Linked DNA regions of Stegostoma tigrinum. The protein of the gene in region 1 binds, or shares a complex with, the protein of each later gene. Links are inferred from orthologs where the notes say so. Each region holds a gene or a part of one and is shown on either strand. Other genes may lie near its edges. The genes, in order: amyloid-beta A4 precursor protein-binding family A member 1-like and protein lin-7 homolog B.

Region 1 (12,168 bases):
GCTGCAGGACAGAGGGATTTGGGAGTTCTTGTGCATAAATCACAAAAAGCTGACATACAAATTCAGTAGGTCATTGGGAAGGCAAATGGAATGTTGGTGTTTATTTCAAAAGGAATGGAATATAAAAATAGGAAGTCTTGCTAAACTTAGACAGGATGCTGGTTAAACCACATCTAGAATACTGTGAACAGTTTTGGACCGCTTGTCTATGGAAATAAATGTTGCCATTGGAGGCAGTCCAGAGAAAATTCACAAGATTGATTCTAGGTATGGAGGGATCTTCTTATGATGAGAGGTTGAGTAGGTTGGGCCTGTAATCATCGGAGTTAAAAGTATGAAAGGCAACATTTTTTTAATCATATGCAATTCTTAACGGATTTGCAGAGAGGTTGTTTCCCATTGTGAGAGAGTCTGGGACCATAGGGAATAATCCCAGAGTAAGGGATTGCCTATTTAAAGACTGAGATGAAGAGGTTCTTTCCTCTTAAGGTAGTGGATCTGTGGAATTCTTTATTGCAGCAGGCTGTGGAGGCTGGATCACCAAGTATATTCAAGGCTCAGATTTTAAATGAGTAAGGGTATCAAGGGCTATTGGGGAAAGGACAAGAAAGTGAAATTGAGAATTATTAGATCAACCATGATCTCACCGAATGGTGAAGCAGACTCAATGGGCTGAATAACCGACTTCTCCTCCCGTGTCTGTGTAATTTTATACCATTGCAAGTGACTCAGGACAAAACAATTATGTTTTCAAGAAAGCGATAGGTATAACTCTTGTGGATAAATGGATCAAGAGATACAGGAGGAGTGTGGGATGAGATTATGGAGCTTGATGATATTGATACTTTGATGATATGGAGTGGTGGAGCAGGCTCAAGGGGTCAAATGGCCTATTGCTGCTCCTGTCTTCTCTGCTACTATGTGTCTCATGGTCATTACCTGGGTTGTAAGAGGGATGAGGGAGGTTGCTATGAATACACAGATGGATGTTGAAAACAACTTGATTCGAACAGAAGATGTTCCAGTGGAGCTTGAGGGATATTTACCCTAGATATTTATTGCAACTATTGTTGAGAGATTGAGGGAAGCAGCATGAATTAAAGATTTTGGGAATTTCTGATTGTGAATTTTGGCCCTTGTGAAAGAGGAGTTCCATGTTACAAACACATAATAACTTAATGCTCTGACCCTATCACACAATATACACAGAACTGAAACAAGCTATTCAGCCCAACTTGTCCGTGCTGGTTCTTAAGCTCCACAGAACCCTCCTCCGCCTTGACGTTATCTCACACTAGCAGCATTTCCTTCTATTCCTTTTTCCTTCACATGCTTATCTAATTTCCCCTTAAATACATCCATACTATCCACTTCATCCTCTCTATGTGACTCCAGGCAGGAGTCAAGACTGAAATTTAAATATTATTGGATTCTAGGAAAGGCAAAATATATGGAAACCAGGCAGGAAAATGGGTTTGAGGTGAAAGTGTAGCTACAATCATCTTGATTGATGGACCCTATGGTCCAATCTTGCCTCTGTTCCTTATGTTCTTATCCACATTCTCACCATGCTCTGGGTAAAAAAGGTGTGAATTCCCTGTTAATTACCACCGTACATTTATGACACTATATTTGGGCTCCAACAGCAGGAACATTTCAGAGAAACAGCCATCTCTTAAAAATTTTTAAATTGGCGAGTGAATTTGTAATGTAGTAGGAAATGCTCAAGGTTTTTGATATAATTATATTTTCTATATTCAGAATTCTACTCTCTGCAGAGTAGCTGAAAGACCAGATGTGTTTGGATTTATAGATTAACTGTGCAAATTCTCTAATTCAGTATGGTTGTAGGATTTTACCATGAAACAGGCTTCTTAACCATGTCAATCTCAATTAGTGCTGTGGCAAGCTGCCACTGTTTCAGTGCACTGTATCACAAGCCCAGTTGGTATTTAGCATTTAGAAGATGCTGTATTGACAAAAGCAAAGAGACTTAGGGTTTTGATGGAGTGGGAACATAGTTTCTTCTTGTGGGGGAACAGCATAAGTAGAAGTCACCCAGGCAAGACAATCATTAAGACGTCCAACAGAGAATACAGGTGAAACTTTTTCATTCAAAGAATGTGGAACTCGACCACAAGGATTGTTGAAGAGAATGGTACAGACGCATTTAGGAGGAAGTTGGACAATCACATGAGGAAGATGACTGGAGGGTTATGTGGATAGATTTAGATGAGGTAAGATGGGAGAAAGCTGGAGTAGAGCAAAAAAAACACCAGAACAGATTAGAGCCAAACAATCCTGTTTCTGAACCCTTTATTCTGTGTAATTTTATGTGTGCAATCATTCACAAACATGAAATAGTAAAAGTTGATATTTATTACGTGACCACAGAATTAGGTGGCAAGAGTTTTATCAAATGCTGGATAATAATTTATTTTGTGTCTTTAACACAATAGACTGTCCACACAGGTGTTTTTCAAAATTTGACACTGAGCTGCAGAAGGGCAGGAGACTGAAACGATCAAAGAGTTAGTTTCAAAAGGGGAATGAGAAATGGAGGTGAGGCTCAAGGGCAGAATTCCAGAGCTTAAGGCCTCAGCATTTGAAGGCAAGATTGCCCTGTTTAATACAAAAGGTATTACTATATTTTTTAAAATGTCGCTTATCAGTTTTTCTCCATTGCTACTTTTCCATTTAACCTCTGAACATAGATTCCACTTGTATCAGTTAACATTTTTAAGGACTATAACATAATTTTAAAATTACAACTGCTTCAAATGAGAGATAGGCAGTAACAAAACTGAAAGAAAGCAATTACAGAACAATGCATTTTCACTTTCTTCACAAAATATTTTGAACTAAACAAATGTGCTCATTCCCTGCTCTAGAATGTTTGGTATCAGAAACAAATGATTTCTGTACATTTAAACAAGAGAGAGAGACAAGCACATATCACAGATTGCTAAGCAGTTCTTCATAAAAAGGTTAAAATTAACATAATGCACTAAACTAACCAAATTACAGCCCTTTTGATGGCGGTTCTGCAGCAGTTATTTCACTGTCGACACAGGAGGTAGTTTCTCCTTAGGATCCCTGACACTGGGGTGTGTAGTATGGTGCTGAAGGATGGAGAAACTGCAGCTGCTACTGCAGAGCTGAGAGACATCACTCACTATAACCACATTAACCCGGAGAGGTGGAATACAGTGAAGCAGCTGCAATCCTATGCTTACTTTGATTCAGCAAGACCATGCAAAAAAGACAAGGTTCCTTACATTTTGTATTGCACGTTTCATACAAATGATAAATTCATCACAGCATTTTTCCTAGATTTCTTCCAATTTTACTAAATGGTGTAAATGTATATAACTCTGTAGTGTGTGAAATTTTCCAGAATGTAGAAAAAATGCTAGCACAAGGAGTAAGTGAAATGATTAGTGTAGATGCATTTAAGAAGACAAAAAACAAAGTTGCTGGTTAAAAAAAATTCAACAGGCCTGGCAGCATCTGTGGAGAGAAAGCAGAGTTAATGTTTTGGGTCCAATGACCCTTCCTCAGAACTTGCTGAGTTTTTTCTGCTGAGTTTTTCAGCAATTTCTGTTTTTGTTTCTGATTTCTAGCATCTTTTGGGTTATTCTGCATTTAAGGAGGAGGTGGATGATCACCAAGGAGAAAGGACTCGAGAGATTATGCTGACAAAGTGAGATGAAGAAGGAATAGATAAAGATCCATGTGGAGCATAAACACCAGCATAGACCTGTTGGGCTGAGTGGCTTGTTTGTTTGTGCAAAATATTATGTGAAACAAAAATTTTAGGTCTAAACCTCAAGGTTCTCTCAAGGTTTCTATGGTGCAATGGCCGTCACATTCACTGAATACGCAAAACATTCCCTGTTCACAACCAGGCAGAATCATCAGGCTAGCTTAGGGCTCAGTTAGCTGGATGGCTGGTTTCCCAATACAGAGTGACACCAACAGTGTGGGTTCATTTCCCACAGTATCTGTGGTTACCATAAAGGACTGCCCTTGTCTGAGGTTAAGTCACCACCAGTGGTCTCTCTATGGTGAGACAGTGGGACTATGGCAGCTTTACCTTTGTATCAGATTTGCAAATGACTCATAAGGACTGACAACATATCCCATTTCCTATTCAGACCCTGTGGCTACCCTTTAGTATCAGTCACTTTACCAGCCCAGTTAATACAACTGATGAGTTTTCTGTCTCTGCTCTGTCTTTAAATGTATGTAATTCATTGGCTTTAAAGCTCAGCAACATCCTGAGGTGGTGAACGGTGCTGTAGAAATGAAAGTCTCGATTTTCTTTCCTCTTTAATCCATATGCAGAAACTAGTTTTCAATTTAAACAAACTCCCCATGGCCATTCTGGAATCTAATGATAATCTTAGTTTGTCCTCAAGGAAAAGTGGCAGAGACCATAAAACCCTTACAATGACCTAGGAATTGCAGGCAGGGAGGGTGTGAGAGAGCTGCAAAGTGCAAATATTATTTCTCCATCCTGTTTCTGAGCACATTTCTACGGGGTTCCAGGAATCTAAATTTTACTGTGTGACATAGAATGCAGAATTGAACCTCATGCTGACATTAAACTTGTAATGTTACCATGTTAATCCCCCGTCATTGGGAAACTTGCAAGAACTGAAAGGTGACTGCAGTATCAAGAGCGGAGTATAATCTGAAGACAACAGTGATTGGTAGATGATGGAGATTAACCCTCAGTGTGGGAGTAACCCCTGGGTCTGACAATGACACATGAACTATGGACATTGACGGTGTAGAGCTGGATGAACACAGCAGGCCAAGCAGCATCAGAGGAGCAGGAAGGCTGGCATTTCGGGCCTAGACCCTTCTTCAGGGCCCGAAACATCAGCCTTCCTGCTCCTCCGATGCTGCTTGGCCTGCTGCTTCATCCAGCTCTACACCTTGTTATCTCAGATTCTCCAGCATCTGCAGTTCCTGCTATCTATGGAGATTGACTCCTGAATGACCTTTGCGGTAAATGGAGAATTACATCTGAATGTTGAAGTGACCCCTGGGGAGTGCAGAGCGAGCCCTGAGTGTGGGAAGGACCCCTTGAATGTGTCAGAGTGATCATTGGGGAATGGACAGTGACCATTTTGAGGGTGGAAAGTGATGTCTGGGTATGAGAATGACCTCCTTAGTGAGAGAGTGACTACTGGGGTGTGGTGGAGAATGACCTCTCGGTGTGAGAGTGACCACTGGGGCAGATGAAATATGAGCCCCTTCGTGAGAAAGTGACCTCTGATTGTGAGAATGACTACTGGCAGTGGTGGAGTATGATCCCCTTAGTGACAGAGTGACTCCTTAGTGAGAGAGTGACCATTGTGGTGACGAAGAGTGACCCCCTTAGTGAGAGAGTGACCATTATGAGGTGGACAGTGACCCCAATAGTGAGAGAGTGACTATTGTGGGGTGGACAGTGACCACCTTGGTGAAAGAGTGTCCATTGCGGGGGTGGAGGGTGACCCCCTTAGTGAGGGAGGAGCCCCTTAAGGAGAAAGTGGCCATTGTGGGGGTGAAGAGTGACCCCCATAGTGAGACAGTGACCCTCTTAGTGAGAGAGTGAACCTCTTAAGTGGCAGAGTGACCATTGTGGTGGTGGAATGGCCCTCTTAGTGAGAGAGTGACCACTGGCTTAAGAACAAACATCAGAAACATTTCCGTCTCCGAGCCTGCGCAGTAATGGACCTTACCGGGCCCGGCTCCGGCGCCTGCGCGTTGAGCACGGTCCTCGGTCCAGCAGCCGGCGACTGCGCGCAGGCGCACTTCGCCCTGCAGCGCCTTCGCACACCGGGGCTACTTCCTGCCTGAGTGCCTCTGCAAATCTGAGTGTGTCTCTGCAAGAACCACAGGGAGGATCAGCTGGCAGCTAGAGGGCTTTAAACAATTGCAAGAAAACGGGCAAAGTGCGCGCAATGCAATCACGTCCAGATCTTGAGGGGCTTTAGGAATCACAGGTATGTAGCAGCAGGCTTCTGGTTCCCAGTTTCATTTTTTTTTGCAAAACGCTTTTAGTCATTTGCAGAGTATTTTGCGACAAATGTAAAAAAGGTGGGAGAAAGGATGCAGAAACCCCCTGTACACTTTCATGTAAGAAAATAAACGCATCAAAATAACAGCACGCTTAAAGCAGAACAATCTAAGTGTATTTTTAACTTAGATATTATGCGTATGTTCCTCCAGTTATTTTTCTTATTCTGAATTGTTCATTGACTGGGACATCCAAGAGATGGTCCATCTTATTGTGAAGATGCTATTCTCGCCCTTCAGTTTATTGAGGATCATGCTGCAGTAACGCTTTGTTGTGTTGATATGGCATCTTTCCTGAGAATGTACAGTAGCGGGCATATGGCAGACTGCGAGCAGAAAACCTCTCTAAGATCTTGTTTTTGCGTTTCATTCGTTGGTGTGTTTACAAGTATGTGATAACAGGGAGTTGGGGAGAGCAAACCTACGTTGCATTCTCTTAAGCCAGAGGGTGGTGAATCTATCTTACAGCAACAAGGTATCATACATGATACCATTTAAGCCAACCTGTAAACTCACTATGAATTCTCCCAAGATCAAGCAGGAACAATTCCTCTGTTTTTAAAGGCTAAAATGCTTACATTATTTGGCTTGCAAATTGTAACTGTTTAGCAGCAATAACTCAAGCGATGATCTAAAAACACATCTCCTTATACATTTTTACCAGTTGTAGTAGCCATCGTTGCTGATGGAATGCCAGTTTTACCATTTCACATAACTTCACTCAGGTTAAAAAAATTAATACTGTATGTAGTTCACCATGCGTCCTATTGAATTTAGACCAAGTGTCTGAAGGACTTTTTATTCATTAGCCAATAATAACTTGAATGAGTCAGGAAGGTAAAAGATATCTGTACGATATGTGAATGATATAGTCCATGATAGTATACAGATTGAAAGCTGATGACCGATCTGTGGGAGATAAAGGATTTGAAATGTTCAACCCCGTCACTAGTGTCCACTTTTTTGCTAATAACAGATTCCATTCATTCAGTGAATGTTTGATTGAAGGAAGGACTTCTTCAGTAACATGCTGCTTCTTGTTGATGTGTGCAGACATGGGTCAGCTTCCAGATGTATACTTACAATACGCAGCTCTGCCTGGCTGTCTGTGATGTTAAACAGTTTGTTCACTATCCAGACTTGCATAAGCCACACTTTGGTGAAATACGAGAAGACTGAAAAGCGCCACAAATTCTGCTGCCTCATTATCAATACCACCCCTTCCCCAGTAAAAGCCTCCGTTTGAACTAATCTGTTGGCAGCTTTGCTGTCATTTTTGACTGTGAGCTGAGTTTCCGATCACATGTCCTGTGCATCATAAAGGTTGCTTGCTTGCACGAGGTCAGCTGTCCTGGCCCTGCTTCGGTCCATCTGCTGCGGAACCCCATGTTCTTTTCTTTTCCATCTTCATGTTCAACTATGTTATTGCTCTCCTGGAAAGCTCCCGGTTTTCCACTTTACGTAAGTGTCAGCTACGCTGGCCGCATCCTAACTCTCACTAAGTGTCTCTTGCCCTGCTGCTTGCTGACTGACATTGGCTCACTGGTCTCCAGAGCCTCAGGTTTAAACTTATCATCCTCGTGTTCAAATCACCTCACGTACTTGCCTATTCTGTGCCTACAATCTCCTCGAGCTTACCAATCCCCTGCTATGTGCATAATTCACACCAGACCCTGTTCACCCATAACTCCAGTCCTCATGGAAGCACTGGGAACTGGGAAGAGGCCATTCAGTCCTTTGAACCAGCTCTACCGTTTGCTAAGATCATATCTGATCATATACCTCAAAGTCGTCTTCATGTTCTAACTCTTTATCCCTTGATTCTCTTACTACTCAGCAGTTTATGCTTAAACAACACAGTAATTTTAAAATTCTCATCCTTGTTTTCTAATCCGTCCATCACCTTACCCCTCTGTGTCTCTGTAATGTCCTTCACTTGTACACTTCTTTGCAATATCTGTGCTCCTTCAATTCTGGCTTCTTGAACAGCCCCAATTTTATTTAATAATCATCACAGCATATGGTGGGAATTCCAATGCTCTGGAATTCCCTCCATAAATATCTCTACTTCTCTCTCTGTCTCTCTCTCTCTCTCCCCTCCTTCAAGGTATTCTCCACAACTAGCAGTGTACAGTCATCTGAAGCCAGACGTGCTGAGTAAATGATCCATCTGGATTTGCTCCCGAAATTACGTCATTACTGACTCCAGACTGTAACACAATGTAAACTGAGTTGGTTACCCAGCAAGGGCAAAGTACATATGGGAAACTACAAAGGCTGTGGGACCTGACACCATTTCAGTTGTGATAATAAATGCTTGTGTTCCAGAAATAGCTGTATTTCTAGCCAATACAGTCCAATACAAACATCGAACCAACAATGTGGAAAACAGCAGAGGTCTAATTCAGCCATTTCCAATCGCCCTATTAGTCTTCCCTCAATCATCAGCAAAGTAATGGAAAGTGCCATTAACTGTGCTATAAAGCGGTACAGCTTCAACAATGACCTTACTGTCACTCAGTTCAGGTTCTGTCAGGGCCTCTCAACTCCTGACCTCATTACAGTCTTGATTCAAACATGGACAAAGACCTGAATTCCTCAGGTGAGGTGAGAGTTACTGTCCTTGACATCAAGGTTGCATTTGACTGAGTGTGGCATCAAGGAGCCCTGGTAAAACTGGAAGCAGTGGGAATCAGGGAGCAAACACTCCATTTGTTGGAGTCATACTGACACAGAGAAAAATGGTGTGATTTTTGGAAGTCAGTCATCTCAGCTCCATGTCATCTCAGCAGGAGTTCCTTAGGGTGTGGTTCTATGCCCCTCCATCTTCAGTTGCTTCATCAAAAACCTGCCGCCCATTACGGGGCCAGCAGTGAGGATGTTTCCTGATGATCGCGCAATCTTCAGCACGATTCATGATTCCTCGGATGTTGAAGTGGCCCCTGTGTCCCTACGCAGCAAAACCTGGACATCATTGAGGCTTGGGATGATGAGTTGCAAATTTTATTTGCCCTACAAATTCAATAGAGTATCATTGCTGAATCTCCTGCTGTCAACATGCTGAGGGTTACCGTTGACCAGAAACTGAATTGGAAAGGCCATAGTAGGCCAGGGGCTAGTTATTCTGTGATAAGTAACTAACAACGGCTCAGTGGTTAGCTCTGCAGCCTCACAGCGCCACGGACCCGGGTTCGATTCCAGCTTCGGGGGACTGTCTGTGCGGAGTTTGCACGTTCTCCCTGTGTCTGCGTGCGTTTCCTCCGGGTGCTCCGGTTTCCTCCCACAGCCCAAAGATGTGCAGGCTAGGTGGATTGGCCATGCTAAATTGCCCGTAGTGTTCAGGGGTGTTTGGGTTTTAGGGAGATGGGTCTGGGTGGGATGCTGCAAGGGGCGATGTGGACTTGTTGGGCCGAAGGGCCTGTTTTCACACTGTCGGGAATCTAATCTAATGAAAAAAAAATCCCGATTCCCAAAGGACTGTCCATCAGCTACAAAGCACATATCATATCCCATGGGAGGATAACAAAAAAAATCTGTTATTTGTTCAGTGTCACATTTGCTTTGATAATGCTTTGACCTAGAATGTTTGCTACTTTAAAGGTGCTGTCCCAACATGGGCAAGTTCCTGAATGAAATTGTTGATGGTACGAATTAAGACGTACAAATAAGATAACAGAAAAGCTTTAAAACTAATTGGCTTTTGTACTTGGAGTGGAATTCTATTAATCACTCTCATCTATATTCTGTCAGCTGTGTCGGAAATCAGTAATACCAGTGTGGTGTTCACCAAGTCAAATTATCCCTTCACCATGTGACAGTATTATTGTGTAGTATGGTGCTGTAACGCGGAAGGAGGCTATTTGGCCCGTCAAGTTGATGCACATTTTTTTCTCCACATGAACCATCTAATCTGATTTCACTGTCCTGCCTGCCTTCTGTAATTTGCATTACTTTGTCAACATCTACGTAAAGAGTCTAAAGGCATTTATTCTGAACAGGCTGCCATGGGGAATTCATAAGGACGTAAGAAATAGGATCAGGAGAAGTCGTTCCATCTCAAGATCTTGCTCCACAATTGAATAAGCCCATAGCTGATTTGGTTTTAATTCCATTTTCCTTTTTGACCCCCATAAAAATCCATCTAACTCAACCCTGAGTATATTCTATGACCCAGCCTCCAGTGCCGCTGTGTTGGAGAACTCCTGCAATTTAATGCTACATTGACAGAAGAAATGCGTCCTCATCTCTGTCTTAAATTTGAGATCCCTTATTTCTAAACCGTGTCCCCTAGTTCAAGATTTTCTCTCAATGGGAAATACCTCCTCACCACGTGTCCTGACTTTCAACAAGGTCACCTCCCATTCTTCTAAACTCCAGTGAGTATCAGCCAAGCTTGCTCAACTGTGCCTCAGAAGACAGCCCTTATCTTTGAACCTCCTACATTGTGAATAAATTCCAGCTTGTGTAAGGAAACCTAAACTCTACACAGTAAATTCTGTGTCCTGTGACATCTGCAGCACATTTTTAAAAACACCTTTTTAATTCTGTCCCTGAACCACCTGCAGCTCGACATCCCTCTGAGATTTATGCGTTCCTCCCAGTCTGACACCTTGTATATCCCAGATTTTAATCGCTTCACCATTGGTGTGCCTTCAGCTGCCGAGGCCTTGCTCTCTTGAATTCCTTCCATACGTGTATCCACCATTCTGTCTTCCTCTTCTCCTCTCCTTCTCTTCTCTATCATAGCCCTCCTTTTAAACTGTCCTTTAAAATGACCTTTTTGCCCAAATTTCTAGTCACCTCCCCTTATGTGGTTTGGCGTTAAGTTTTGTGGGAACATTTTTGCTAAATGTAGTCGGGATGTTTTGCCATGTTAACGCCGTTATACAAATACAGGTAGTCGTGGTGAAAAACAGATGCATGCTTTTCCCTCATGACTTTTACTCCATGTTTTGTGTGCCTGTCCTCGTGATTCAGCCAAAAATCAGCTCTTCTTGAACATTTGACCAATTGGAGAGTTAGAGATCCAGGTTTGTACCACACGGTATATTGATTGTTTTCACTGTTGCAGGAAAGTCTTGGTCTATGTTTTACTGGAAGACCACCCTGTGATTGGAAATTTAAAGGTGGGAAATTTGGAAATTGTCCCTTTTGGCAAACTCGAACACAAAGTTTACAAACGAGAGGGCAAACAAAGTTGAAAATAGATTACAGCAGGAATCCCTGACAAAATGATAGATTTTAATGCTTTCCTGACTCGTTTCCTCATGCCTGTTGCCCAATTGACTAATCATTACTGGCACTAAAGTGTGCATTTCTCAATTGGAAACATGCTACGAAAATAACAAACCCTTGTGGCCTCCTGACCGCCCTGTTACTTATCTAGACAGCCAAATCTGTAAAGATATTAATCATACTGTGCTGTTGGCTGGAACATGCAGTCTATAAATTCAATTTGTAAATCCATATTCTTTCAGTGAGGAGATTGCACTATCTGCTGTGGAATATCGCAGGCAGCTTCCTGACAACCCTTGAGGTTAACCCTGCAGAGGTAATTGTGTGCTGTTTGTATCTGATCGAATGTGCTGTAGCTCATTGGGATAGGCTATGACAGCTGAATGAAATTACACAGAATTACAACATTGAAACTGGCAATTGAGCCCAATTGGTCCTTCCAGTGTTTATGCTCCACATGAGTTTCTTTTCATCCTCCTTCAATCTCACCCTGACAACATATTCTTCTAGTCATTTCAACCTTGTGTTTATCAGGCTTTCCCCTAAATTTGTCTATATTGTTAACTTCAGTGTGGTCGTGAGTTCCACATTTTCACCATTTCTGCTGAATTCCCGATTGGATTTGTGAATATATTGGACTTGCCCACAAGTGGAAACTCCTTCTGTATGTCTACTCTATCAAACCCTTTTGTGATTTTGCAGACCTCTCAGACAAAGTTATTTGTTGTTTCATTTCTGGGGAAGCCCAGTCTTTTTCAAGTTTTCTTGATAGAGTTTACCTCTCGGTTTGGGTACCAACCAGTGAAAAGGTTTTGTACCTTCTCCTGTGCTTCTATGTCAGTTTTTTATGGTGAAACAAGA
Region 2 (12,886 bases), on another chromosome or scaffold:
GCAGAAGGAACTAGTTTAGTTTGACATCATGTTCAGTATGACATCATTGGCAGAAGGTCCCATTCCTGTGCTGTACAGTTCTATATTCTAAAGAACTGCATGTGTTGGAACTACCGAAATTGCTGGAGAAACTCGGCAGGTCTGGCCGCGTCTGTGGAGAGAGAAACAGAGTTAACATTTCGGGTCCAGCTTCTGCAGTGAGGTCGCTCCACTTTCTCTCCACAGATGCTGTCGGACCTGCTGAGCTTGTCCGGGTTTATGGCAGATTTGAATAAGGTAGAGATTTAAAAAACTGCTCTCATTGGCCAATTGGAGTCACTCATTTCAGGCTTTTGGGCAAGAAATGGAGCAGGCAATGCGATGAAGAACTGCTGAGCAAATCATAATGGCCTGGGCTTGTCATCGAGAAGGGCAGGGAATACCGAGACAATCACTAATTTAGGGAAAATGAATGAACAAACGTTCATACTACTGGGATAAAAGAGGAGAATGGGACTGACTAGACTGCACTACAAAAAAGATGGCATGGACTGAATGGCCTCATTCTGTACCTGTTTATATGGGCTGTACAGATTCCAGGCTTTATAAATAAAGCAATGAAAACCTTTGAAAAACATTGATTCAGGTCAACTCAAGTCCAGTTGCAGAATCATGGAATCGCTACAGTGCAGACAGAGTTACTAGTGGTGTACCGCAAGGGTCGGTGTTGGGTCCACTGCTGTTTGTCATTTTTATAAATGACCTGGATGAGCGTGTAGAAGGATGCGTTAGTAAATTTGCAGACGACACTAAGGTCGGTGGAGTTGTGGATAGTGACGAAGGATGCTGTAGGTTGCAGAGAGACATAGATAAGCTGCAGAGCTGGGCTGAGAGGTGGCAAATGGAGTTTAATGCAGACAAGTGTGAGGTGATGCACTTTGGTAGGAGTAACCGGAATGCAAAGTACTGGGCTAATGGTAAGATTCTTGGTAGTGTAGATGAGTAGAGAGATCTCGGTGTCCATGTACACAGATCCTTGAAAGTTGCCACCCAGGTTGATAGGGCTGTTAAGAAGGCATACAGTGTTTTAGCTTTTATTAATAGAGGGATTGATTTCCCGAACCAAGACGTTAAGGTGAAGCTGTACAAAACTCTGGTGCGGCCGCACTTGGAGTATTGCGTACAGTTCTGGTCACCGCATTATAAGAAGGATGTGGAAGCTTTGGAAAGGGTGCAGAGGAGATTTACTAGGATGTTGCCCGGTATGGAGGGAAGGTCTTACGAGGAAAGGCGGAGGGACTTGAGGCTGTTTTCATTAGAGAGAAGAAGGTTGAGAGGTGACTTAATTGAGACATATAAAATAATCAGATGGTTAGGTAGGGTGGATAGGGAGAGCCTTTTTCCTCGGATGGTGACGGCGAGCACGAGGGGGCATAGCTTTAAATTGAGGGGTGAAAGATATAGGACAGATGTCAGAGGTAGTTTCTTTACTCAGAGAGTAGTAAGGGAATGGAATGCTTTGCCTGCAATGGTAGTAGATTCGCCAACTTTAGGTACATTTAAGTCGTCATTGGATAAGCATATGGACGTACATGGAATAGTGTAGGTTAGATGGGCTTGAGATCGGTATGACAGGTCGGCACAACATCGAGGACCGAAGGGCCTGGACTGTGCTGAAATGTTCTATGTTCTAGAGTCCATTCGCCCCATTGAGCCTATACTGACCCTGTGAAGACCACCCTCTTGCCCTGGATTTCCAGGATTAAGGAACTATAGGTCTTACTGAAGAGCCAAATGACCTACTCTGCTTCTGCAGTGTATGTTCATAAATTCTTCCTTTACAGATAATGACTGAATATTGCTGGGGGTGGTGTGAGCGGGGGAGCGGGGAATGAGAGAGAGAGATTGAGAGAGAGAGAGAAAACTGGCTCAGTGGTTAGCACTGCTGCCTCATGGCATCAGGGACCCGGGTTCAATTCCACCCTCAGGTGACTGTGGAGTTTGCACATTCTCCCCGTGTCTTCGTGGGTTTCCTCTGGGAGCTTCGGTTTCCTCAGTCCAAAGGTGTGCAGGTTAGGGTGGATTGGTGTAAAGGAAATGCAGGGTTATGGAGTGGAGTTGGGATGCAATTTGCTGTAGACTCGATGGGCCAAATGGTCTGCATCTGCACTTGTAGGAGTTCTGTGAGAGAGCTTGTCTTGCACACATCAGGACAAACACAAGAATGCCAAATTTCAAATGATTGGAGACAAGGGATGTGATTGGTTGACACATCCGGCCTGACTAGCTGAGATGTTGCCATGGAGAAAGCAATGACCTGTGCAATTCAAAAAAAAGGAGTAAGGCTTTCAGCATATCTCTTTTGTTCATGGAGAAGGAGTGTATGCCATTTCTCACAAGTGTAAATAAGCCACATGATGAAGGGTCTGGGCCCAAAGCGTCAGCTTTCCTGCTCCTCTGATGCTGCTTGGCCTGCTGTGTTCGTCCAGCTCCACACCTTGTTATCTCAGATTCTTCAGCATCTGCAGGTCCTATTATCTCTCATCACATGATGAGCTCAACTGATTGCCTTAATCTCATTGTCAGTATAACAAGCACACTTGGGAGTGTTCGAAATGTGTTACCCAGTTGTGGAATCACAACCAGAAGGCCACAGGATTCCCAAGCAGAAAACAAGATACTGTTCTTCCACAACACAACAACAAAAACAAAATTGCTAGAAAAGCTCAGCAGCATCTGTGAAGGAAAAAACAGAGTTAACGTTTCAAGTCTGGTGACCCTTCCTCAGAACACCAGACCTGAAATGTTAACTCTGATTATTTCCTTCACAGATGCTGCCAGACCTGCTGAGCTTTTATCGCAACTTTTGTTTTTGTTCCTGATTTACAGCATCCGCATTTCTTTTGGTTTTTAGTTATACTGTTCCTCCAGCTCTGATGAAGAGTTATCTAGACTCAAAACATTAGCTTGCTCTCCATCTCTCTCTCTCTCTCTCTCCCCCCCTCTCTCCATGGATGCCGCTTGACCTGCTCTGATCCCCAGCATTGTTTGCTTTCAGTACAAGATTCAGTAGTAATTTGCAGTAATTTGTTTCTGCTGTCCTTCCAGCTTGTGCTGAGCTTCACTGGAGCACTGCAGCAAGCCCAGGACAGAAATCTTGCCCAGAGAATACAATGGTGTGTTTCAGCGACAGGCAACTGGAAGCTTGGGGTCGCCCTGTCTGTGTTTCATCTTCACATTGTAGATTAGACCAGTGAGAGCAGTAAATACTTTGAAAATTATAGCTGGTGTAGGCCATTCAGTCCCTTGGGCCTGCTACACCATTCGGTATAATCATGCTGATTGAGCTCAATACCCTAATCCTCCCCTCTCCCTATATTCCTTGATCATTTTAGCCACAAAACAAAAACTATATCTACCTCCTTCTTGAAAACACAATGTTTTTGCCTCAACCACTTTCTGTGATAGTGAATTCCACATGCTCGTTACTCTATAGGTGAAGAATTTCTCCTCATCTCAATCCTAAAGAATACCCCTTATCTTTAAACAATGCCCCCTGGTTCTGGACTCCCCAGTCTTTCCTGCATCTAACCTCTCTAGACGTGGTAGAATTCTGTAGGTTTCAATGAGAGTCCCTCCCCATTCTTCTCAGCTCCACTGAATAGAATCCTAACTGACTCAATCTCTCCTCATATGTCAAACCTGCCAAACCTGAAATCAAATATAATAGGAACTGCAGATGCTGGAGAATCTGAGATAAAAAAAGTGTGGAGCTGGACGAACACAGCATCTCCCAGTCACGAACTATTTCAACTCCCCCTCCAATTCCTTAGACAACATGTCTATCCTGGGCCTCCTGCAGTGCCACAATGATGCCACCCATAGGTTGCAGGAACAGCCACTCATATTCCGCTTGGGAACCCTGCAGCCCAACGGTATCAATGTGGATTTCATCAGCTTCAAAATCTCCCCTTCCCCCACTGCATCCCAAAACCAGCCCAGTTCGTTCCCTCCCCCCACTGCACCACACAACCAGCCCAGCTCCTCCCCTCCACCCACTGCATCCCAAAACCAGCCCAGCTCGCCCCCGCCTCCCTAACCTGTTCTTCCTCTCACCTATCCCCTCCTCCCACCTCGAGCCGCAGCTCCATTTCCTACCTACTAACCTCACCCCGCCCCCTTGACCTGTCCATCCTCTCCAGACTGACCTATCCCCTCCCCACCCATACTCTCCTCCCCATCTATCTTCTCCTCTATCAATCTTCGGTCCACCTTCCCCTCTCTCCCTATTTGTTTCAGAACCCTCTCCCCATCCCCCTTTTCTAATGACGGGTCTAGGCCTGAAACATCAGTTTGTGTGCTCCTAAGATGCTGCTTGGCCTGCTGTGTTCATCCAGCTCCACACTTTCTTAACCCTGAAATCAATCTTGATAAACCTTCGCTGTTCTTCCTTCTACAGCAAGAATGTCCTTTCTCAGACAAGGAGATCAAAAACAGAACGATATATTTAGATTACCTACAGTGTGGACATCCCTGCTCCTTTACTGGAATCAAATAGTTTATCTTCTTTTGTACACTAGATTGAGAGAAGTGCAGGTAATTCACTCCTTCACCTGAAAGGTGTTTCTGTAGCCTTGGATGATGATGAGAGAGAGGTATCTCAGATCCTCCTTTCACTTTACAATATTCAGGTGCTTGGTTATGTCAGATACAGACTTGGAGTCATAGAGTCAAATAGCACAGAAATAGACCTCTCAGTGCATTAGTCCATACTGACCAGACATCCCAATCTAACTCAGTCCCATTTGTCAGCATTTGGCCCATATCTCTCTAAACCCTCCCATCCAGATGCCTTTTAAACGCTGTAATTGTACCAGCCTCCACCACTTCCTCTGGCAGCTCGTTCCATACACACACCACCCTCCGTGTGAAAAGGTACCCCTCAGGTCCCTTTTAAGTCTTTCCCCTCTCGCCTTATCCCCGTGCCCCTTAGTTTTGGACTACCCCAACCTGGGGAAAAGACCTTGCCTATTCACTCTCTCCATCCCCCTCATGATTTTGTAAAACTCTATAAGGTCACCCCTCAGCCTCCGACTCTCCAGGGAGTACAGCCCCAGTCGATTCAGCCTCTCCCTGTAGCTCAAACCCTCCAACCCCAGGAACATCCTTGTAAATCTTTTCTGAACTCCTTTAAGTTTCACAACATCCTTCCCATAGAAGGGAGACCAGATTTGCACACAGTACTCCAATAGTGCCCAGACTAATGTCCTGCACAGTCGCAACATGACCTCCCAACTCCTGTACTTAATGCATAGACCAATAAATGAAAGCACACTAAATGCCTTCTTCATTATTCTGTCTATCTGTGACTCCACATTCAAAGAGCTATGAACCTGCACTCCGAGGTCTCTTTGTTCAGCAACAATCCCCAGAACCTTGGGGTGGCATGGTAGCCCTGTGGTTAGCGCTACTGCCTCACAGTGTCAGGGACCTGGGTTCAATTCTAGCCTTAGCTGACCACCTGTGTGGAAAATACTTATTCTCTCTGCGCCTGTGTGGGTTTCCTCCAAGTTCTCTAGTCTTCTCCCACAGACCAAAGATGTGCAGGCTAGGTCAGTCAAAAGTAGTGCTCAGGGATGCCTAGATTAGGTGGGTTATAGGGGGAACGGGTCTGGGTGAGATGTTCTGAGGGTCAGTGTGGATTTGCTGGGCCAAAGGGCTTGTTTCCACACCGTAGGGATTCTATGATTTATGAACGTTACCATTAACTGTGTAAGTTCTGATCTGATTTGCCTTTCCAAAAATGCAATACCTTGCATTTATTGAAATTAAACAATATTTGCCACTCCTCGGGCCATTGTCCCAACTGATCAAGATCCCATTGTACACTGAGGTATCTTTCTTCGGTGTCCTCTACACCTCCAATTTGGTGTCATCTACAATCTTACTAACCATACTTCCTATGTTCATATCCAAATCATTTATACAAACAATGAAAGGCAGTTGACCCAGTACCAATCCTTGTGGCTGGTCACAGGCCTCCAGTACAAAAAGCAACCCTACACTACCACCCTCTGCCTTCTACCTTGCAGCCAGTTCTGTATCCAAATGGCTAGTTCTCCCTACATTCCACATGATCTAACTTTGCTAACCAAAAACCTGATGAAGGGTCGAGGCCCCGAAACGTCAGCTTTTATGCTCCTAAGATGCTGCTTGGCCTGTTGTGTCCATCTAGCTCCACACTTTGTTACCCATGAGGAACCCTGTTGAACACCTTACTGAAGTCCACATATATCACATCTACCGCCCTGCCCTCATCAATCCTCCTCACCTCTTCAAAAAAGTCAATCAAGTTAGTTAGATGTGATTTGCAAAGCATAAGGCCATGTTGAATCTCCCTAATCAGTCCTTGTCTTTCCAAATACATGTAAGTCCTGTGTGTAGGGATTCCCTCCAACAGCTTGTCTCAGAAAAAAGGGCTGCAACTTCAGACTGAGGTGAGGAAAAATTTCTTCACAGAGAGGGCTGTGAGGTACCTTATGTCTATTTAATGGTGAAATAGATTAAGACCATAAGACATCGGAGTGGAAGTAAGGCCATTCGGCCCATCAAGTCCACTCCGCCATTTATATCATGGTTGATGGGCATTTCAACACCACTTCCCTGCACTCTCCCCGTAGCCCTTGATTCCTTGTGAGATCAAGAATTTGTCTATCTCTGCCTTGAAGGCATCCAACGTCCCGGCCTCCACTGCACTCTATGGCAATGAATTCCACAAGCCCACCAGTCTCTGGCTGAAGAAATGTCGTCTCATTGCAGTTTTAAATTTACCCCCTCTAATTTTAAGGCTGTGCCCACGGGTCCTAGTCTCCCTGCCTAACAGAAACAACTTCCCAGCGTTCACCCCTTCCTAGCCATACATTATCTTGTAACCATACATTATTCTTGATCAGTTGGGGAATCAAACGTTAAAGGGAAAGGACAGGAAAAGTGCATGTAAGGGCTGTCAGATCAGCTACTATCCTGTTGAATGGTGGAGCAGTTTCAACGGGCTGAATGGCCTGTTTCAGTTCCTATTTCTTATGGTCAGCGGCCCCTGTGGCCGGGGACTGTCATCGCAGGACTGGGGATCGTGGCCAGAGGAAGGTGACAGCGGCCCCTGTCGCCAGACACCTGTCGTTGCAGGAGGCGTGGGAGGCCCCGCCCCTCACCGCGGTGGGCGTGGCTACAGCTCCGCCGGTGTTGATCACGTGTCGCTTCACGGTCAGGTGATACCGGCTCCAAGATGGCGGCGTTGGCTGAATCTTTGTCGCTGGAGAGAGGTGAGTGAAATAGCTGACCACCCTCAAACCCTGCTGCCGTCGCATCTCTTTCTCTTTCCATGGGGGCCACCGAGACCCCGCGAAGGACCGGCATTTCATTCCTGATCCCGTTAAAGCTATGAATGAGTGACACCGCTACCCGCATAGCCAATCAGAGCCTGAACTCTCTGATTGACAGCAGGGTGGACCAATGGGGATGAGGTGACTATTAATATATATAAGGAGACCGACCAATAGCGAAAGGGGACGGGATCTATGGCGACTTTTTCCAGAATTATGGCTGATATAGTTCAGTAAAATATCTTAAAACAAAAATATGTGTCAGTGTCTATTTTAGTAATACGTCTCATTCTTAAATCTGTAAATGTATATAATCAGCCCGGTCAATATACATGTTAACAATGTCTCATAACTTTATCAGCATATATTTGTCCCACACATCTTTCTATCAATCATCCTTCACTTATATATTTTGTATCTCTCAGACATATTTTTGAATAATTTTTGCACATTTCGTATATCTATCAAATTCTATTTCAGTAATACTGAAACATAGATAATTATATCCCTGAAAGATATGCGAGGTGTATCAGTGAATTCTATAATGTCATATATATGAAACATATGTCTGAATACATTTAGCGTTTACCCCTATAAAGTATAGGACACATTACTGAAATGCATGCTGATATGTATCTGAAAGATACAAAATGTGGGGAAATATGTTTTTCAGATACCTGAAATAAATTTTGATATACGTGTATGTTTCAGTTATAGCTATCAGTATATGTTTCAGCAATTTATCTGTATATTGCAGTGTATTTATATATAGTGTACATTTCACATGTGTGTCAGAGCATAGACAACTGAATTAATTAAAATAAAATCAGTAAAAGGACCACTTCTGCCACAATTGTGCTGCCTTGTCATTAGTGCCATAAGACATTCCCAAATTTTCTCACATCCAATGCTCAAAAATGCAGTAGCAAACAAAATCTTTAAGATAGCTAGTGGGGTGTTTAACAAGCCAATAACCAGTCATTCCAGAATAACTGACGATTTTGTATGGTCCACCCAACAACAACATGCCCTATTTAACATGTGCACAGGTAGGATAGGCAGGGGGCTGTTCATATTTTTTGGCTTCTTTATTCATTCATGGGATGAAAACATCACTGGCTAGGCAGCATTTATTGTCCATCCCTGATTGTCCCCAGGGCATTTAAGAGTCAACCAAATTGCTGTGCGTCTAGAGTCACACATAGGCCAGACCAGCTAAAGATGGCACTTTCCTTCCCTAAAGGACATCAGTGAACCGGATAGGTTTTTCCTGACAATTGACAATGGATTCACAGTCATAATTAAATTCTTAATTTCAGATATTTTATTGAATTCAAATTCCACTATCTGCCATGGTGGGATTCAAACCCTGGGCCCCCAGAACATTATCTGGGTTTGATACATACGTGAAATGTATACTATAGATAAATTGCGGTGTGGACTTGTTGGCCGAAGGGCCTGTTTCCACACTGTAGGGAATCTAATCTAATCTAATCTCTTGTGCTCCACCTGAGAAGGCAAGCAGCAGCAAGTTAATTATTGCAAGTGGCTGTCAGTGAAGCACGGGTTCCCAGACTGGTTTCAGAAGCCACTGCCACACACCAGAAAATAAATTAGACGGAGCAAGAATACTTCTGGCCAGGGATGGGGCAGAAATGTCAAGCTTGAACACTACCTGCAAGCCAATTGCTTAATTTCTGCTTTCTGCATGGTCTAGATGTTACCAGAGCGATCGAGCTGCTGGAGAAGTTACAGCGAAGCGGCAATGTTCCCCCGCAGAAACTGCAGACGCTGCAGCGAGTTCTTCAGAGCAAGTTCTGCTCTGCCATCCGAGAGGTCAGTACGCAATCAGCGACTATAGCTTTGCTCCCTAAATGCATGCGCTCATTAAACTCAACATCAGCAAATGTGTTTGTGCATTGTAGCTCTTTCTGCATGCGTCAGCCTTTGAAGGAAAGAAGCTTATTTGCACATATTACTGTTGCATTTGATTAAAAATGAATTTTACTCTTTCTAACATGTACAATTTTAACAAAGAGTGCAGTGAGAATTTAAAATTCACTACAACATGGAATAGTTGAGGTGAACCGCATTGATATATTTTTGGCGAAGCTGGTGAACATATATGGGAGAAAGGAATAGAAGGTTATGCTGTTAAGAGTGTGGGGTGCAGAGAGGGGTAGTGGGGAAGACCTCTGTGGTGTATAATATTGGCTTAGACCAATTAATATCAATTAGCCAGTTTCTGTGTTGTGAATTCTATGTAGCTCACCTGTCCAGATCAAGAAGTATGTTTCAAAATGTCCCCAGTCAATTCCGATAATCAAGTCTTTAATGAGAAATTATCAGACTGCAATTACACACATCATGAATAATAAGGTAGTTTTGCCCAAGCTTTGTATCTTCTGGCATCTTAGCCTGTACTACAGAGAATATTCCTACCAAATTTAACTGAAAAATATACTTGGACTTAATGTCCATTTACAGCATCAGTGAAGATTAGCCAGTAACACCTTGTTTCAGAGATAGTAGGAACTGCAGATACTGGAGAATCGGAGATAACGAGGTGTAGAGCTGGATGAATACAGCAGGCCAAGCAGCATCAGAGGAGCAGGAAAGCTGACATTTTGGGCCTAGACCCTTCTTCAGAAATGGGGGGAGGGGGAAGGGGATTCTGAAATAAATAGGGAGGTGGGGAGGTAGATAGCAGATGGATAAAGGAGCAGTTTCAGGGCCAAAGAGATTAAGCGAGAATTGCAGCGGGAAAGAGATCCACTGAGGTCTTCCTGGAGGGAGGAGGGTAACTTCTTCAAGTTAGGCATCCTTAGAAGAAGCTTTGCAGTGGAGTTAACAATGTTTCGGAGATATTAGGAACTGCACATGCTGGAGAATCTGAGATAACATGGTGTACAGCTGGATGAAAGACCTCAGAGGATCTCACTGCAACTCTCATAATCTCTTCAGTCCTGAAACTGCTGCTTTATTCATCCTCGATCCGCCTCCCCCTTTCTCCCTATTTATTTCAAAATCCCCTTCCCCTCCCCCATTTCTGAAGAAGGGTCTAGGCCCGAAACGTCAGCTTTCCTGCTCCTCTGATGCTGCTCGGCCTGCTGTGTTCATCCAGCTCTACCCCTTGTTGTCTCAGTAATACCTTATACCTGCATACCATTTGTCCATAGAATATTGCTGTCTGCTCTCACATTTAAGTCATGCACTTATATTAACACTTCGTATTATTATTCTTACGCCCACATTTGAGATGGTAACTGCATATGTAAGCATCACACTGTAATTACACGCGCTGACCACTGGAAATACTGCGGGACAATTCCAGGCAAGTGCCATTTTAGATCTGTTTTGTTTGCCTACATACTGTGGTTTTTAAGTATGGATGTAGAAATGCGTAATGAGAAAGGTTAACAAATCGTGTGAGAGAAAGGGCAGACCATAAACTGTGCTGTGTTCCAATAATCCTGCACCTCACCTCAAACTCATACTAGATCTTTACTGACTGAGTGAAAGACCGTGGGAGAGCAGCTCAAAGTCTTTTTAAAAGCCCGGCATGCATGTGTAATGCCAAGTTTCCTTAATACGTTTCGCGCCATACTTGATTAACAGTCTTGTTGGTATAATTATACCATGAAGATGCCACAAGAGATCCGACAGCATTAGATTGTAATCCATGAGTGACTGTCTTTTGTACTGGGGTTGATTATAGTTATTAGTCTATTACATTAATTTTTGAGAGTACTGTGCAGCTCCATAATGACACAGGGTGCTGTGAGAATACTTCCGTGCAGGGGCTGTACAATTGGCTAACGTGCTGGGAGCCACAGACTTGCTGAAACTGTGTAGAATTCCTGGCATGTTAGAGATATATAAAGGGGTTGCACCAGTGCAGATTAGCTTAAGCAGTTAACACTATCAAACACAGAATTAGCATCAAAAGGTGTGTTTTTGAAATTTTATGCTTTTTTTTTGTTTTCTATCCCTGTAAACTTGTACTTTGACAGATTTTGTCATTTAGCTGAGTGCAGGATGTATAAGGAGGACAGCAGGAGAACATAATGGATGGATTCTTGGGATGTCAGGTTAGTCAGAGGAGAGATTGAGTCACGTGGCTCTGTATTCAGTAGTGTTTGAAAGAATGAGAGACGATCTCATCATCAAATGTACAATTCTGACAGGCCTAGACAGACAGGATGCAGGAATGATGTTTCTCCTGGCCTGGGGATCTAGCTCAAAGGGTCACATTCTTAGGATATGCATTCAATCGTTTCAGACTGAGATAAGGACAAATTTCTTCACACACAGTTCTGAGCCTGTGAATTCTCTACCATTATGGAAGAATAGAAATAAACAGATTTTCAGAAGCTAACGGTGTCAAACATAACAAAGTGTGTATCTAGATGCAGGCTAAGCAGCATCTCGGGAGCACAAAAGCTGACATTTCGGGCCTAGACCCTTCATCAGAGACGGGGATGGGGAGAGGCCCTCCCCCCACTGCATCACAAAACCAGCCCAGCTCGTCCCCGCCTCCCTAACCTGTTCTTCCTCTCACCCATCCCCTCCTCCCACCTCAAGCCGCACCTCCATTTCCCACCTACTAACCTCATCGCGCCCCCTTGACCTGTCCGTCCTCCCCAGACTAACCTATCCCCTCCACACCTCCCCACCTATCTTCTCCTCTATCAACCTTCGGTCCACCTCCCCCTCTCTCCCTATTTATTTCAGAACCCTCTCCCCATCCCCCTCTCTGATGAAGGGTCTAGGCCCGAAACGTCAGCTTTTGTACTGAAGAGATGCTGCTCGGCCTGCTGTGTTCATCCAGCTCCACACTTTGTTATCTTGGATTCTCCAGCATCTGCAGTTCCCATTATCTCTGGTGTCAAAGAGTCTGCGAGGGAACCAGAGTACGGCATTAAGGTAGAGGATTGGCCATGATCATATTAAATGGTGGAGCAGGCTCACTAGGACAATGGCCTAACCCTGCTTCTGTTTTCTGTGTTCCCATACCCCGTCTCTCATTCAGGTGTACGAACAGCTTTACGAGACACTCGACATCAGTGGCAGTCCTGAGATCCGAGCTCACGCAACAGCCAAGGTACCCACAGCCTGACGAACCCGGGTCCCTCACTGAGCACAAGTAACAAGGTATTTGCGAACCTGTGACCACAGGATCAGGAGAAGGCCGTGGTCACTTCTGCCATGCAGCCAGGTCCTGGCTGCTCTGAACCGTAACCTGAAGTACCTGCCTGAGTACAGTCGCACCAAGTACCTTTGCCTGACACAAATCTGTCAGCCTCAAATTTGAAAGTATCCACTGACCCTTAGCCACAAGAGATTTCTGGGGGAAACAGCCAGCTCTCCAGGCGTCTTTACGTGAAGACGTACTTCCTCATATTACTCCTGAATGGCTTGACTCAAATTTTAAGGTAATTCTGTGTCACCCTGAACTCTTTGACCAGAGGGAACAACCTGCAATCAGTTTTCAAAAATGAATTATTCATTCCTGGATTGTGCAC

The links.
Region 2: amyloid-beta A4 precursor protein-binding family A member 1-like (region 1) and protein lin-7 homolog B share a complex: the UniProt entries of both Homo sapiens proteins name them as parts of the brain-specific heterotrimeric complex. The link is inferred for Stegostoma tigrinum from reciprocal best matches to the Homo sapiens genes APBA1 and LIN7B.

The regions. Positions count from the first base shown.
Region 1 is NC_081356.1:28,368,574-28,380,741, reverse strand, and holds the start of amyloid-beta A4 precursor protein-binding family A member 1-like, read left to right. Parts: upstream 1-5,826; 5' UTR 5,827-5,999; intron 6,000-11,549; 5' UTR 11,550-11,623; intron 11,624-12,168. UniProt on the Homo sapiens protein: Putative function in synaptic vesicle exocytosis by binding to Munc18-1, an essential component of the synaptic vesicle exocytotic machinery. May modulate processing of the amyloid-beta precursor protein (APP) and hence formation of APP-beta.
Region 2 is NC_081391.1:19,465,833-19,478,718, forward strand, and holds the start of protein lin-7 homolog B, read left to right. Parts: upstream 1-7,243; 5' UTR 7,244-7,264; coding exon 7,265-7,301; intron 7,302-9,078; coding exon 9,079-9,197; intron 9,198-12,393; coding exon 12,394-12,465; intron 12,466-12,886. UniProt on the Homo sapiens protein: Plays a role in establishing and maintaining the asymmetric distribution of channels and receptors at the plasma membrane of polarized cells.